2 linked regions of the Rattus norvegicus genome follow. The protein of the gene in region 1 interacts with the protein of each later gene in a biochemical or structural test. Links are inferred from orthologs where the notes say so. Each region holds a gene or a part of one and is shown on either strand. Other genes may lie near its edges.

Region 1 (7,238 bases):
TTAAAGGTGACAAGCTGTGGACCAGCCTTACAGGGTCGGGTACTCCTCCCTACACAGCAGGCTGTGACTCTGTGCATGGGTGTCATCTCTTAGGCTCTGAGAGAGAAGCTTCTGTGTCTGATACTCTATATTTCTCACAACACAGCAGGTTTTGCATATCATGGATGTTCAATAAACATCAGACACATGAATAATGGACAGAGGGGTGTGGTTCCTGTGAGAACCCTGTTCCCACGGGCTGAGTTACCTCAGCACAGCTAGGTGAGAGCTGCTGCAGAAGCTGGCACAAGCTCCCCAGAGCTGGGCCCTGCCGCCTTGTCCTCCTGGGACTCCTTATGAACTAAGGCCGTTCAATGCAGAGTACGTATTTAATTCATGCTGATTACCAGTGACTGCTGAAGAGCCATTCAGAGCCACTGTGGGACCCGCAGCAGTAGATAATCCAGCACCTTCGGAAAGCTGGAGGAACTGATGGGTTACAGTCAATTAGCAAACACTCGGTTTACTGCTTTGCTTTCTTTCTGCTGAGTATAAAGAAAACCCTTGATAAATAAGTGCTGGCCTGGGTTTAGGCGCATGTGACATGCCTGATTGTATCCTTGAGTATGGGGTTGCTCAGCCCAGAGAGGAAGTGGTAAGTTGGGGTTGACCACGGAGGAAAGGGAAGCGCTGACCCAGACCACAGTTCTTCTTGGGCAGCTAGACTGTGGTAGAGGACCTATCTGTCTGCATCCTCATGAAACCCGAGAGAGAAGGGGTTTCTGTGGGCATCTTCCTGAGTCCAGGTGCCCAAGAGTTACTGTGCATGTCCCCTTCTCTAGGAAGAGAGGTGGCCTAGCTTCAGGTGTCATCTCCTATTTTCCCCACAGCTGCTTAAGTGTCTAGGTCTGCTAACTGCAAGGACCGCCCCCTTTCCCTGGGGTTTGTCAACCTGACCACACCTGGAGTTAAACCCCAACACCGAGGGGTACACCTGTGAGTGGCCTCTGCTTAACTGAAGGGAAGACTCACTTCTAATACGGGTCTCTGAGGTGGAAAAACACACCTTCAACCCAGATCTTCCAGGTGGGAAGGCTGTCCTCTAATCTGGGCCTGGTGCTGGGAGCCTAGACAAGGATATGGAGGAAGGAAGGTCTGCTCTTGGCCTGCTTGTTCTCACCTCATTTGTTCTCACCTTCTCTGGCATCAGAGCCTGGTTCCTCAGGATTCTGGGGAACACTGAAGACCAGCACAGATGTCCAGCCTTTTGGACTGGACAAAGACTGGATTCTTAGAACTTCTGTTCATAGGCAGCCATTGTTGGACTAGCTGGACCATAGCCTGTAAGTCACTCTAATAAATTCTATCTATCATCTGTTGTCTGTCTTCTATATTCACTGTATAAGTTCTGTCAGTCTAGACAACCCTGATGAATACACCTAGCCTCCTGAAATAGGAGAGGATGAGACAATGTTAGTTCCTGGAAGCACTCATTAGCCACAGATGCTGAAGAGAACTTGGGAAGGGAATGTGTTTATGAAGAAGTCATTGCTGGTGCAGTACTGAAAGATCTCCCAATAGATCTGTCCTAGATTCCATAGGAATTACACAGGCAATTCGCCAATAGCCCACGAAGTCTCTTCGAAACACACCCACTCAGGCTTCAGCCTCTAGGTCCTTCATCCCAGCCCCAGGATGAATTCTCTGCAGCCTCGGTACTGTGAGTCTCATGCACCCTTTCTTTAAATGAAGCAAGAGAAAAGTTTTAGTCACTGCAGAAAGTGGAAGACAGTCAGAGTTAGTGCTGGTGGGGTGAGAACCAACTGCTGCTGCTTCCAACCTGAAAACAACACAGGAGCCCGAGGTCACGAAGCTGTGGTCATACAGCCTGGAGGACGAATGTTTTCATTTGGTGATCACAACAGAAATGGCCACACCTTAGGCTCTTCTCCCCAGGGGAAGTGACTTGACTGGCACATCTGGGAAGTATCCACGGCATGGACAGGAGCCACAGACCCCAGCCCCAATCCCCCCACCCTACCCTATCCCCAGACCCCACCTCGTTCCTGTAACCCACGTTAGCCATACACCCTGCCTCCTGCCCACGCCCCGCCTCATCTCAGAATCCCATCTCATGGTAGCAGAAAGGGAATGTCCTGTAGTCATAGGGCAAGAACCTTCTGATGTCTAGGCTAAAGACAGGGAGGGGACTTTCTGAATCTAAATAAGCCAGGCCCAGTGGCACGAAGGACAGGACAGGCTCTGGGGCAGGGCAGGGTCTTCAGAGGTCCCGTCCTCCAAATAAGAGCTAACTGTCATAAGAGGACCTGCACCCAAGCCTGCAGGGACACACTGATTGCTAAGCTAACCCCAGCTCCTGCTACAAAGGACAAGGAATGGGTAACTGGACACCTACAGCCACAATGAGGAAGTCCAACCAGCACCAGGCATTGGTGAAGAACTTGACGAAGCCGTAGGCTGTCCACTTGAGCAACATCTCCAGGATGAAGATGTAGGTGAAGACCTTGTCCGCATACTCCAGGATGGTGCGGATGGTCTTCCTCTGCTCAATGTAGATGTCCTCAAAGGCCTGCAAGAGATGCAGCGGCTGCCGAATCAGGGCAGTGTGCCAGCGTCGCAGCTCCTCACACAAGCTGTCCGCCATCAGGTTCCCACTCCTCCACTCTGATCCCCCGCTTCCCCTCCTTGCTTATTGGTTAGTGATGCAGGGGACTGAACCCAGGGCCGGGTATATGCAGGCTAACCACTAAGTCCAGGAAAGTATTTTATTGAGAAATAATTTATATCCCATATTTAAATTCAGTGGCTTTTAGGATATTACATATTCATCATATACATTTATAACATTTTCATTATCCCACATCTTCCAGCTGTTACCTTCTGGACCCCTCATTCTGTTGGTCCTCAGTATACTAATCTGCCTTTTTGGGGGCATTTCATACAAGTAAAACGATCCAATACTTTTTTTTTTGGTTCTTTTTTTCGGAGCTGGGGACCGAACCCAGGGCCTTGGTGCTTCCTAGGCAAGCGCTCTACCACTGAGCTAAATCCCCAACCCCCGATCCAATACTTTTTTTGTGTGTGCCTGGCTGCTTCTTATTTTTTAAAGATGTATGTATGTATGTATGTATGTATGTATGTATGTATGTATGTACACTGTAGCTGTCTTCAGACACACCAGAAGAGGGCATTGGATCTCATTATGCATGGTTGTGAGCCACCATGTGGTTGCTAGGATTTGAACTCAGCACCTCTGGAAGAGCAGTTAATGCTCTTAACCGCTGAGCCATCTCTCCAGCCTCAGGGCTTCTTTTTTTTTTTTTTTTTTTTTTTTTTTTGGTTCTTTTTTTCGGAGCTGGGGACCGAACCCAGGGCCTTGCACTTCCTAGGTAAGCGCTCTACCACTGAGCTAAATCCCCAGCCCCAGGGCTTCTTATTTTTATAAAAAAATTATTTTCTTTCCAATCATGTGTCTGCATGTGTGTTTGTGTAAGGGTATGTGTGCAGGAGTGCAGGTGCCCATGAAGGCTATGTTGTATTGCCTGTACCTGAGTTACAGGCAGTTGTGAACTACCTGATATGGGTGCTAGGAACCGAACTCAGGTCCTCAGGAAGAATAGCTTGCATTCTTAATGGCCGAGCCACCTCCTGACCCCAAAGCCTGGCTTCTCAAAGTTCTCAATCTATCTCATAGTTCAGCGTGTGTGGATGATTCACTCTTCAAGGAGGAACACGACTCCAAGGTATGGAAACACTGTGGTCTGTTTAACGATCATTACTTGATGGACACGGGCTGTTTCTACTTTTAAGCTAGTATGAATAACTCTGCTATGAGTGTTTGTGTTTGATTGGCAATGTGTTTTCAATCCTTTAGGGTGTGTGATTAGGAACAGAACTTGCTGCTAAGTCCTTAACATTGGGAGGAACTAGGAACTGTTTACCAACATGGCCACAGGACTTCACATGCAGGACATCAGGAGGGTGTGAGAGTTCCAGATGCTCACACCCTTGCCCATTGTTTATCAGATTTGACAAGATCCTTTCTGTTAGCTCCTCTATGCCACAGATATGGGGCAGGGGGCGGCCTGGGTTGGGAGAGTCTTCTCTCTCTAGGGAACTCATGAAGGAGGTAGTCCCTCCTATTGCATGATGGTGGACTATGTAGTTGTGGTGCTTGGAGGGAGCATGATGGTTACCTGTGGTTGGGAGAGTAGAAAGGCACACCTGTAGGTGTGTCAGTGAGAGCAGTTCTAGGGGAGAAATGAAGAGTGAGCAGTCTGGATGTGGAGAGGGATACTGGCCCATCTCAGGAGGCTGTCTGGGGTAGGGCAAAGCTGGCAGTGGCAGGTTTGTCTTCAATCCCATGCAAAGAGCACTGCAGGTTCGGGGGTGGGGGTTATCTTAAGGTCAGATGTGAAGAAGGGTGGATTCTAGACTCAAGAGCACTATATATATCCTGGCCAGCTCAAATCTCTTGAACAAATTCCTGTTCTTGGGAGCTCTCTACCCCTTCAAAGACTGGTAACCTCACCCAGCCTCGGTTCCCTGTTTCTTTGTACCCTTCCCCCACCAGCTGCTAGTCATTCTCCCTTGACTCTCACCAGGGCGCCACTGCTGAGCAGAATCATGAAGATGATGAAGGTCTCAAACCAATTGTGCTCCACAATGAGGAAGCAGGTTTTCCGCAAGATCCACCACGACTTGCCTAGTCCTTCCTCGATGTTGACCTGGCAGCACTTGAACCGCTGGACGCAACCTGGAAGCAATGGGAGAGTCGGGTCAGACTGGACCCTTGTGCGGCCTGACTGGTCCCTTTCCAGGCTCCCACTCCACAGTAGGGAGGGTAGCCGCTGAATATGGTGAGAATCGCTGAAGCTATGTTGCAAGGGTAATAAAAAGGCAGGACTTCTGGAATCAGGAAGATCACTACAAGGAAGCAGTGAGAGGGTTGGGAGGAGGCTGGTCAGGTCAGGAGGCAGGCACAGCACACCACGGAGGCCTTTCTAATGGCAGTCGGGCACAAAAAAAATCTAGACTGGAAACTTGTATGTCAGAACTGAGTAAGGGAAATGATTAAAAAATATTTATTAAAAACCAACCTGCACCAAAAATGGCACAAGTCTACAGCGCCTCCAAAATGGTGCTCGTCCACAGCACCTCCAAGATAGCGCGCGCGCAGCCATCGCGCCTCCAAGATGGCGCCCAACCACAGCGCCTTCAAAATGGCGCCCAACCACAGCGCCTCCAAAATCACGGGCAGCCACAGCGCCTCCAAAATGGCGCCCATGACTAAACAGCACACAGGTCATGCACAACCTTTCCCTGTCCCTTTTACCCTCTGTAAAGCAGGCGTCCGGATCCAAGTATTCCTCAGGTTGCTCCACGGGAACTTCTTCCACCTCAGGCTTGATGTCGATGGTACTTCCTTCTGAGGAGCTGGTATCGTCCAGTTTCTAGACAGGAAGGAAGAGGATGGGTCAGGGAGCTGTGCAGGAACATGTCCCGTGATCATGTGTACGTGACCTCAGCTAGGGGTCACGCACAGACAGACACTAACCGCGGGGTCAGGTGGATTAAGAGCAGGGACAAACTAAAGGGTTGATTGACTCCAGAATCCATGCAACTAAATCTGGACTAGCCCAGGGAGCTCGGTCCCCAAGGGGAGACCTAGCCTGACCCTGGGGCGCTGGGCTGGTTTTCTTGGCTGGGACCTTACATCTTTGCTGCCTTCAGGGTCTGATTCGCTGCTAACATCCTCTGTGTTGAGGTTCTCGAAGTCAGACTCGCCCACAGCAATGGGCACCCGGACGGTCAGGTTTGGGTTGTTAATGAAGGACATGTGGTCCTCGTCGATGATGTACTTCTCCACGCTGCTGCCGATGCCGCTGGTGGTTCCGTTCCCGTTCTTCTGGAAGTCGCCGTTCCGGTGGATATCCACGCCCGTGTGGTTGGCGATGCAGTTGGCCTTCTTCTCATACAGCTCGTCGAGGGGTTTCACTTCATCCGCCTCCCGCTGCTTGAAGTGAGCCTGCATGAAGGCGTGCACCTTCACTTTGGTCCAGGCCACGCCCTTCTTGATCCGGATCACTGAGATCTGCAGGTTGTTCATTTCCCCGTCGTCGTCTGTGGCCGCCAGGTTGTCTGCGCTGAAGGAGCTCAGAAGCAAGGCCAGGAATAGGTTCAGCACCTACAGCAGCAGCAGCAGCAGCAGCAGAAAAAAGGAGCAAATGTGGAATTGTCTTGGGACGTTATCCTCTCTCCTCAGTGTGACAAATCAGAAGCCAACAGAGTCACATAGACTGCAAAGGGTTTCTGTGCTGTGTTGGCTCCTGTCATAATTCATTTTATTCATTTCTTTGTGCAAAAGATGAAATGCCTGACCTTGGGCATGCTTGCATGCTAAGTGTTCAGCCCCTCCCTGTGGTATTTTAAATGTTCACGACGCCAGATGGAAATTTCTTTCGGCTTTACGGTAAGGAGTTTTGAACTTTTCCTGGCTCTTCTCTACTTTTACGTTTGTATGATGATGCCCCAAATCTATTAATTTTCTTATGACAAGAGGGCAAAGGCTGTATTCTCTTTGAAAGAAAAAAGATAAAACCGAAAATGCCTGAATGGATGACTGAGGAGGGCAGATGAGTGCACGGAGTCATGTGTTTGTGATAGCAGGTATCTCAAAGGACCCGTGTTAGAACAATAAAATTAGGTTTCCAGAGCCATACTTTCATAAACAAACCAAGAAGGCAAAACTGAAATATGTATGCCACCTTCCCTCAAGGGTGTGTTCTGGAGCACTTTAATGTGCGAGGCCCTGTAACATATTAACAACTAAGCAAAAAGGAGTGAGTTATCTCTGCTTCCCCGGTGTCTACAAAAATCCCTTTTCTGGAAGCAGGGACAGAGCCTATAAACTGGCCACATCCAAAGTTAAGGTAGGGACACCAGAGCTAGGAGTTCAAAGTCTGAGCAGGATGCTACACCGACTTCAGTCTCTCCTGCAGAGCCAGACGCCAAGCCGTGAAATGCAGGCTTTGTTTAAAGCCCCTATTTTGCCATGTTGGATAACACACACTACTGTTTGGGTCTCATTACGTAGCCTAAACTGGCCTTAAACTCACGATCCTGATGCCTCAGCCTCCTGAGTGCTGGCATTACAGGTGTGAACCACCCAGCTTGCTAACTGCTGCAGAATGGAGGGGTGTAAGTGGTGACCGAGATCTCAAGGAGTCATTCCTGTT
Region 2 (7,238 bases), on another chromosome or scaffold:
AATAATTAATAACAGCTTCTGCAGTAGTGAAATAAGGACCAAATCTTAGTCAACACGTCAGAATCCAGGCACACACATCATTAGCTTTTGTTGCTACGCTTGCTATTTTACTATTACTACAGTAAGGGCCAATATCATTAATGTGATACTTACTGATGGGTAGAGGTAACCTTCTCCATTCATTGCTATGTACAACCCTGTCTTCACTCCCTGGATGGCAACAACACGCAGTCCCACTGGGATGAGGTTGAACAGAGCTGTTGAAGATAAAGGTAATCTGTCACTAAGCGGTAAATGGAGCAATGCATTTCAATAATACTTCCCCCTTTACTTTCTGTTATTTAAAAAACACATAATAGGGGTTGGGGATTTAGCTCAGTGGTAGAGCGCTTGCCTAGGAAGCACAAGGGCCTGGGTTCGATCCCCAGCTCCAAAAATAAGAACCAAAAAAAAAAATCCATAATATTTCTATTTTACAAGTTGACTAAAGAATTTTATGATGAAGAAGCTTCTGCTAAATGAAAAAAAAAAAAGAGCATCTCAGTTTCAGGTTTCCCACAGAAGGCTTGCTCACAACATTTTGAAGGGTTTGGGGGACAGAACAGAATCAAGCCTGGAATTTTGCTTCTATTATCCAAGTCTCTGACCCTACTATATTTCAGGAAAAAAATCATCTGTGGATATTCTCAAGGCACAGAATTTAAAACTCCAACTTTAAAGTTGACTATCATTTTCTACACAGTATAACTAGGTATTTCAGTGCAGCATAGACCAGAAGTCCAGAAGTAATTCTCAAACTAAATTACTTTGGCAGAAGCTACATGAGACGCCAGAAAATCCAAGAAAAGATGTATACCTGCCCATGGGATAAGCTTAAAAGGTGTCAAGAAGATGAAATAGCATGTTATTTTCAAGAAAGACTTTTATTTATTGGTATTGTATAAAGCTATAAATAAACATAAAAGTATAATATGCTGTTTTATATTTCTGATAATTTAAAAATCCAGCTATATTTTTATGTTTTCTTCCCTTCTAATAAAGTATTTAATGTACTTTTATGAAGTATATTCAACAATATCATTTTAGATATTGTCAACCATAATATGTCTAGCATGCTTATACTACTCAATGAGGCTTGCATTAGTATTCTTAGTGCAAGTGTTATTGACAAGAAAGCTATTAATTAACTGCTCTCATTTAACTCCTTAACTTGATTTTACTTCTGAGCAATGGGAATAGGCATTAGCTCTTAACACAAATGTATGAATAAAATGTCTTATCTTTAAGTCTTCAACTTTTTTACAGAAGACATGTCACTTGAAAATGATATACAGTTTGATTTTATTCTAAGGCTACTCAGTACATAATTAAAAAGTAATTTTGAAGGTTTTGTTCTGTTTTTCTTTTTCAAGATCATACTACGTATGATGGAGAAAGCTAGGTTCTCTTTTGCAATAATTACATATTTCTATTCTCCAGATCATACCATATCTGCACCTCAAAGGAAAACAGCAGGACATGGTCGTGATAATTACCCATAGATTAATTTGCGGTCCCACAGGTGGATAGTTGAGTGTTGCTTACAATATACAAAGTAACACTGAACTGTCTTCAACTGGATTCTAGAAGGTTATGACATATAGAAAAAAGTTTTAGACCTTTTTATTTGTTATTTGGTGTTGAATATAGTATGGTGCCATTGAGAACTAGGCTTTGTCCTGGAAATTCTGTTTCTGTTTTGCATGTGAAACTTATGTTTGTTTTTATCTTTATTATCTCCCTAAAATTTGAAAGGAGGGACACTGTAGGATAATTCCTAAGCTCCATGCAGAATTTTAAGAGAGAACATAATCTTGTATATGTTTACCTAACCTGATAATTTCCAACCTATTTACTTTAATCTCTGTATCTTGATTTAAAAAAATGTTGTAGCTTTTGAATATGTCATGTCAACTATATGGTATAATTCCCAAAGGCAAGAGTAATATGAATATAATATAGTATAAGAAGTAGAAAAGTTCTAAAATATAGCCTAAAATAACCTTAATAAAAATTACACTATCTTTCTTTCCTTGGGATTTTGTCAGGGAAAATGCCAGCAATTATCATTTACAAATTAACAATGTGGAGCTGACCATGGAAAAAGAGTGGTACTAGTTAAGAACATAGATAAATTATTTTTCACTCTCCTTGAATTTTTATAATTACAAAGCAATGAGGCAAAACCTAGTGGAATAAAAATAAAGATGTCCCTGTGATTGTGTTTCTGTTGTAGAACTCTCTGGTCTGCAACTAGATTTCAACCCTGGCTGTACATGAAAATGGCTGCGTTTATGAAATAAAATGACCATACCCAGCCCTGAACCAAACAAGTCAGAATCTCTAGGGCTAGGTTAAGGACACAAGAAAAGTGTCTTAAGTGCTCCTCAAATGAACTTAGACTACAGTTCATGTGAGAACCCATTCTAAACCCTTTGAGGGGTGGGTGATGTGATGACGCTTGTATATTTCAGACAGTCAGATCTAACTATGCATTCACACTATGTATACCTCACACCCTCACATGTTGCCAGAAAAAGAAAAAAGCAAAGAGGAAGTTCTTTCCTTCAGGTGTAGTTATTTTTGTTTCTTTTCCTTTGAAAACTTTTGTTATGATTTGTGCAGATAATGACACTCAATATCTAATTCTATAAAAGAATTTTATTTATAAATCTCTACCAACAGCTGTTTCTTTTCTGTGTTGCCTGTGCCTGAATTATCTTTCTTCTCTTTTCCTAATAAGAAATAAAATATAAATAAATAAATAGGAAATAATATAGGGGTAATTTTTAAGACAAAAGTGGAAGAGACAATAGAGAGAAGGATTTTTTATTTATAAAAAAAGAAAAGGAAGATTAATAAGAAAAATGTATATATAATATTATTTGAAGGGAGTAAAGCAAGTTACCGAAAATTACCAGTATAAACACACTCTTCATAAAAGTCAGCTCACTTCAGATATAAGGATACCAAAAATACTAATATTTCACATAGAAGCATGATGTATAAAACAACTTATTTCATGTCATTAACTGTTCTCAGAATCTCTGCCTGAGAACCTGATGAGTGGAACTAAAACATGAAGAACTGATGATTCCATTACATGGAAAAGGTCTTCCTTTCTTTTCATGGAGTATAGTCTATTGTGAAGAGAATGTTAACTTGACAGGAAGTCATCATTGCTCATGACCTAAGGATTGTATGTATGTCCTGGAACTGAATCTATCAAAACCCATTTGGACATTTTTCTAAACCTAGCAATAAAAGGTGAGTGTGTGTGTGTGTGTGTTTGTGTGTATGTGTGTGTGTTAAAAGTAATGTGCAAATAGAGGAAATTACAGACCAGTATAGGAGAAAACTGTGAAAAATGTAACGAGTATAATATAAAAAATACCAAATAGAAGGGAAATATTAATATTACAAAAGATACATAGAGTTTTAATGTTCACAGACCCTATGGTATAAGACAAATGTTTTATACAATGTGTTTATACATACAGAGCCTGAAGAATGCCCTCTATGCAGAAGACATTAACTTTTATACTGATACATGTGTGTACCTAACTGTTATAATCAGATGAACAGTGATATTGTGGACATAACCATTGCTTGAAAAAAACAAAAACTCAGTTTAACACCACAGGTCTCAATGAAATGATGCACGCAATCTAGTGGGCAACTAGAACCAAGCCAACAGGACCAATCACTTCCAAACACATCTCACAAAGCCATTTGTGTAGCAGATTTGGTTGGTCACTTACTGGAATTGGTGCTGTCATCCTTAGTTCCATCGAGAGCTCCATCGGGGTGCATCTGCAAGTAGTAACCTTGCCTGCAATATAACCTGGTCACTATGCCCTTGAGCTGGGGATCTGAAAGGCAAACACAGGGGTAATCAGATTCACAGGGCTGCAAGGGAGAGTTGGATTGTTCTCCTTCTTTTAAAAAAATTTCATGTTTCTTCTTCAGAAGATGACATTTTATAAAGGGTGCACATTTCCCCAGACTTGTCTGGGTCATGATAGCCAGATTACACAAACCACCACAATTAAAGCAAGCACAATAATAAGCTTCAGAAAATAGGGCATTTCATAAAACTAGCATGTGTATTTTCATTATTCATTAGATGGTTAAACTAATTAAATCATTAGTTTAATTACAACTTTAACCTCTAATTATTATAAACTAATTCTGTCATTCGGGGTGGCAATTCAAGAGTTTTGCAGTGGAGTGACTCAGAAACTTCGTTCAAGGTTTCAAATGAAGTTTTCATTTTACTTAAACTGACAACCTATAAGTGAGAGAAAACTGTATTTTAAAAAATTATGTTAAAATGTGATGTATATCTTTAATAAAATCCCCAGTTTGGACAATACCCCCTACCCTCAGCTTTCATGGAAGGATTTGTGGTGTTTATAAATGATATACAAAAGAGTCAGACATTTCACTTCTGAACTCAAAGTGAGACCTAGAATCAAAGGACACAGGAGATTGATTGGGCTTGGCTCAGCACTGCAGTGGATGCCTTGCATGTACAGGACCCAGCATTGCTGAAGCAAAACAAAATAAAACAAAACAAGAAAAGACAAGACAATACAGCAAAATATGACAATACATTAATCTACATAGGAATCAACTCTAGGACAATGTCCTGGTTAAGTTGTAAATGAAACAAGCAAGCTCTTTATTTATATAACTGAATAGAACAGCTGAGTTTTGTGTGTGTGTGTGTGTGTGTGTGTGTGTGTGTGTGTGTGTGTAAGTATGTATGTATGTATGTATGTATGTATGTATGTATCATTCGATTCTTGGACATCATACATAGAAGTAAAGGGAGGTGGGCATTCACTATAACTAAAGGGGAAGCTATGTATTGGGGTCTTCTCACTTAAAGACTTTAAGAAAAGATAGCTGCCTGGTAATTCAGTGTTTCTCTAGAAGCTAAGAAAATAAATGTATTTAAGAAAATAAATATTTGCATGTGGCTTTGCAAAGGTCATGCTCATTTTGGAAGCATAGCTGATATGGGACATCATAACTCTCATGGCAACAGCCTTTTCTCCACAGCAGCTGAATGGAACATGGAAATTTGTTTGTACTGTCCAAATTGCAGGATGCAATGAGCAATCCGACACATAGTCTTTAACACAGACTAGCCAACAGGCAAACAGAAACAACGAACAGGCCAAACAAGCAGATTTGCCCACAACAGAACAGCTCTGGGATTTTGAACAGCTTTTCAGAAATGAAAAAAATAATCAATCCAAGTCATTGTTCTTATTCATACGGCTGCACCAAGAACATTTACTTTATAGATGAGATGATGAATTGGACACAAATAACATTCTGGAAAGTAAGCTAACATTGAGGTATGATAACGTCACTGTAACAAGCATGTTAGAAGACAGGTGTGTTTAAAATACTGATTAAAAAGGTGTGTAAAAAGGGGATATCTAAGTAATTATTAAGATTGTGTATATACCTGTTTGGTTTTGGACCCTGAGACAAGGTGCATGTTTTACACATCAAAGCAGACCTGGCCTCCACCTTCTACCAGCATCTCTCAGTCCCTACCTGGCTTCAACCCTGAACTTTCCAGTCCAGGAGCTGGACTGCCCTTTCCCCAGTAATCTAGTCATTTTTATTCCCCTTCTCTATTTCTCTCTCCTTTTCTTCTCTGCACATGAGCATTATCTCTTTCTTTTCTCTTCCTTCTTTCTCTTTCTCCCTCTCATGGCAACTCCTTAGGGCCAGTGAGCTCACCTAAGAGCAGCTTCCAATCAACTTGCATTTAGTATAAACTAATCTGGCTTGAGTTGGTTTATTTCACCAGTGGAGAAATAATTTATCAATACTTTCTTCTATAACAAATAATCTCAAAATTCATAATCCCATAATTCTGCTTTGTCTTTTTCATTCTTTTGTTCTGTCAGAACACTGAACCCATGGGATAATACGGCCTCCATTTAAAGTACTTGTTCCCCTGCAGTTAATCCTTTCTGGAAATTCCCCTCACAGATATAACCAGAGACATGCCCAACCAGTCTCCTAGATAAGTCAATCCAGTCAGGTTGAAATTAATGGTTAAGGTTAATATTAACCATTGCTTGACTCTTAATTGCCACTTTGTTGCTGTTGTTTGCTTGGTTGGTTTTGTTTTTATTAATGAAAATAAATGTTTCTCCATACAATATATTCTGATCATGTTTCCACTTCCTCAACTCTTTCTAAAATTTCATACTTCTGAGATAAGTTTAAAAGAATATAGCCCCCCATCCATCTCTTCAACATGCCCTGCCCACTGCAGTCCTGTACCTGGTATTGGTTGCATTTCTTACGCTCTTATCTGTACATTGGTAGCAAGAAAAATAATGAACAGTGATATTGCAGATATGGCATATGCCTTTAATCCCAGCACTCAGGAGGCAGAAACAGACAGTTCTCAGTGAGTTCAAATTTAGCCTGGTCTACATAGTGAATTCCAGGATAACTACATCTATATATAAGTATATATATATATAGATGTATATATACTTATATAAGTATATATATATAGTGAGACCCTGTCTCAAAAATAAACAAAAATATAGCTAAAAGGATGGAAAAATTTATTAGTGCCTGTGAACATAAACAGAGAATTTTACAGTCCAGTTCTGTAAAATCCTTGTGTTCTGTCGGCATTTATTTTAAATAGTACCACATTCTAGCCGCTAGTTTTTCCAGAGTTTAGTTAAATAGATCAGTCAGGGCAGGAAGATCCTATAACCTAGCACACAGCTTCCCTTTACTCACACGGTGAGCCCTTATGAACCATACCTCATCCTTATTATGAGAATAACAATAAAACACAAAATTTTATTTTCTAGTGTTCATTTAATAATAAAAGCAATCTAATTTGAATGTACCTGTTTACACAGAACTTGGTATTTTTATTTTTAAAAACTAATAATTACATTTGTCCTTGGTTGTCAGGCATTGTTCTATAAAAACCTGATTCATTCATTAAATCTTCGCTATGGGTCTACTTCAGAGGAAACTGAATCAAAGATGAGGAAATTGGGAAAGAGAACAATAAAGTAATTTTACAAAAGGTACAGACTTTACAAGACTGGAGGTTGAGTATATATGAACACTCAGCCTGCCTTCTTAACAGTCAGGCTATGTGGTCTCTACAAAAAGAAGAAACTAAATTGCTTTAT

Evidence for each region.
Region 2: the proteins of Scn8a (region 1) and Fgf14 form a complex in vitro, tested with the Homo sapiens proteins (2 studies listed by BioGRID). The link is inferred for Rattus norvegicus from reciprocal best matches to the Homo sapiens genes SCN8A and FGF14.

Annotation. Positions count from the first base shown.
Region 1 is NC_086025.1:134,003,028-134,010,265, reverse strand, and holds part of Scn8a (sodium channel protein type 8 subunit alpha), read right to left. Parts: intron 6,188-7,238; coding exon 5,717-6,187; intron 5,454-5,716; coding exon 5,336-5,453; intron 4,757-5,335; coding exon 4,602-4,756; intron 2,570-4,601; coding exon 2,396-2,569; intron 1-2,395. UniProt on the Homo sapiens protein: Pore-forming subunit of a voltage-gated sodium channel complex assuming opened or closed conformations in response to the voltage difference across membranes and through which sodium ions selectively pass along their electrochemical gradient.
Region 2 is NC_086033.1:107,615,902-107,623,139, forward strand, and holds part of Fgf14 (fibroblast growth factor 14), read right to left. Parts: intron 3,912-7,238; coding exon 3,801-3,911; intron 436-3,800; exon of another isoform or gene 363-435; intron 258-362; coding exon 154-257; intron 1-153. UniProt on the Homo sapiens protein: Probably involved in nervous system development and function.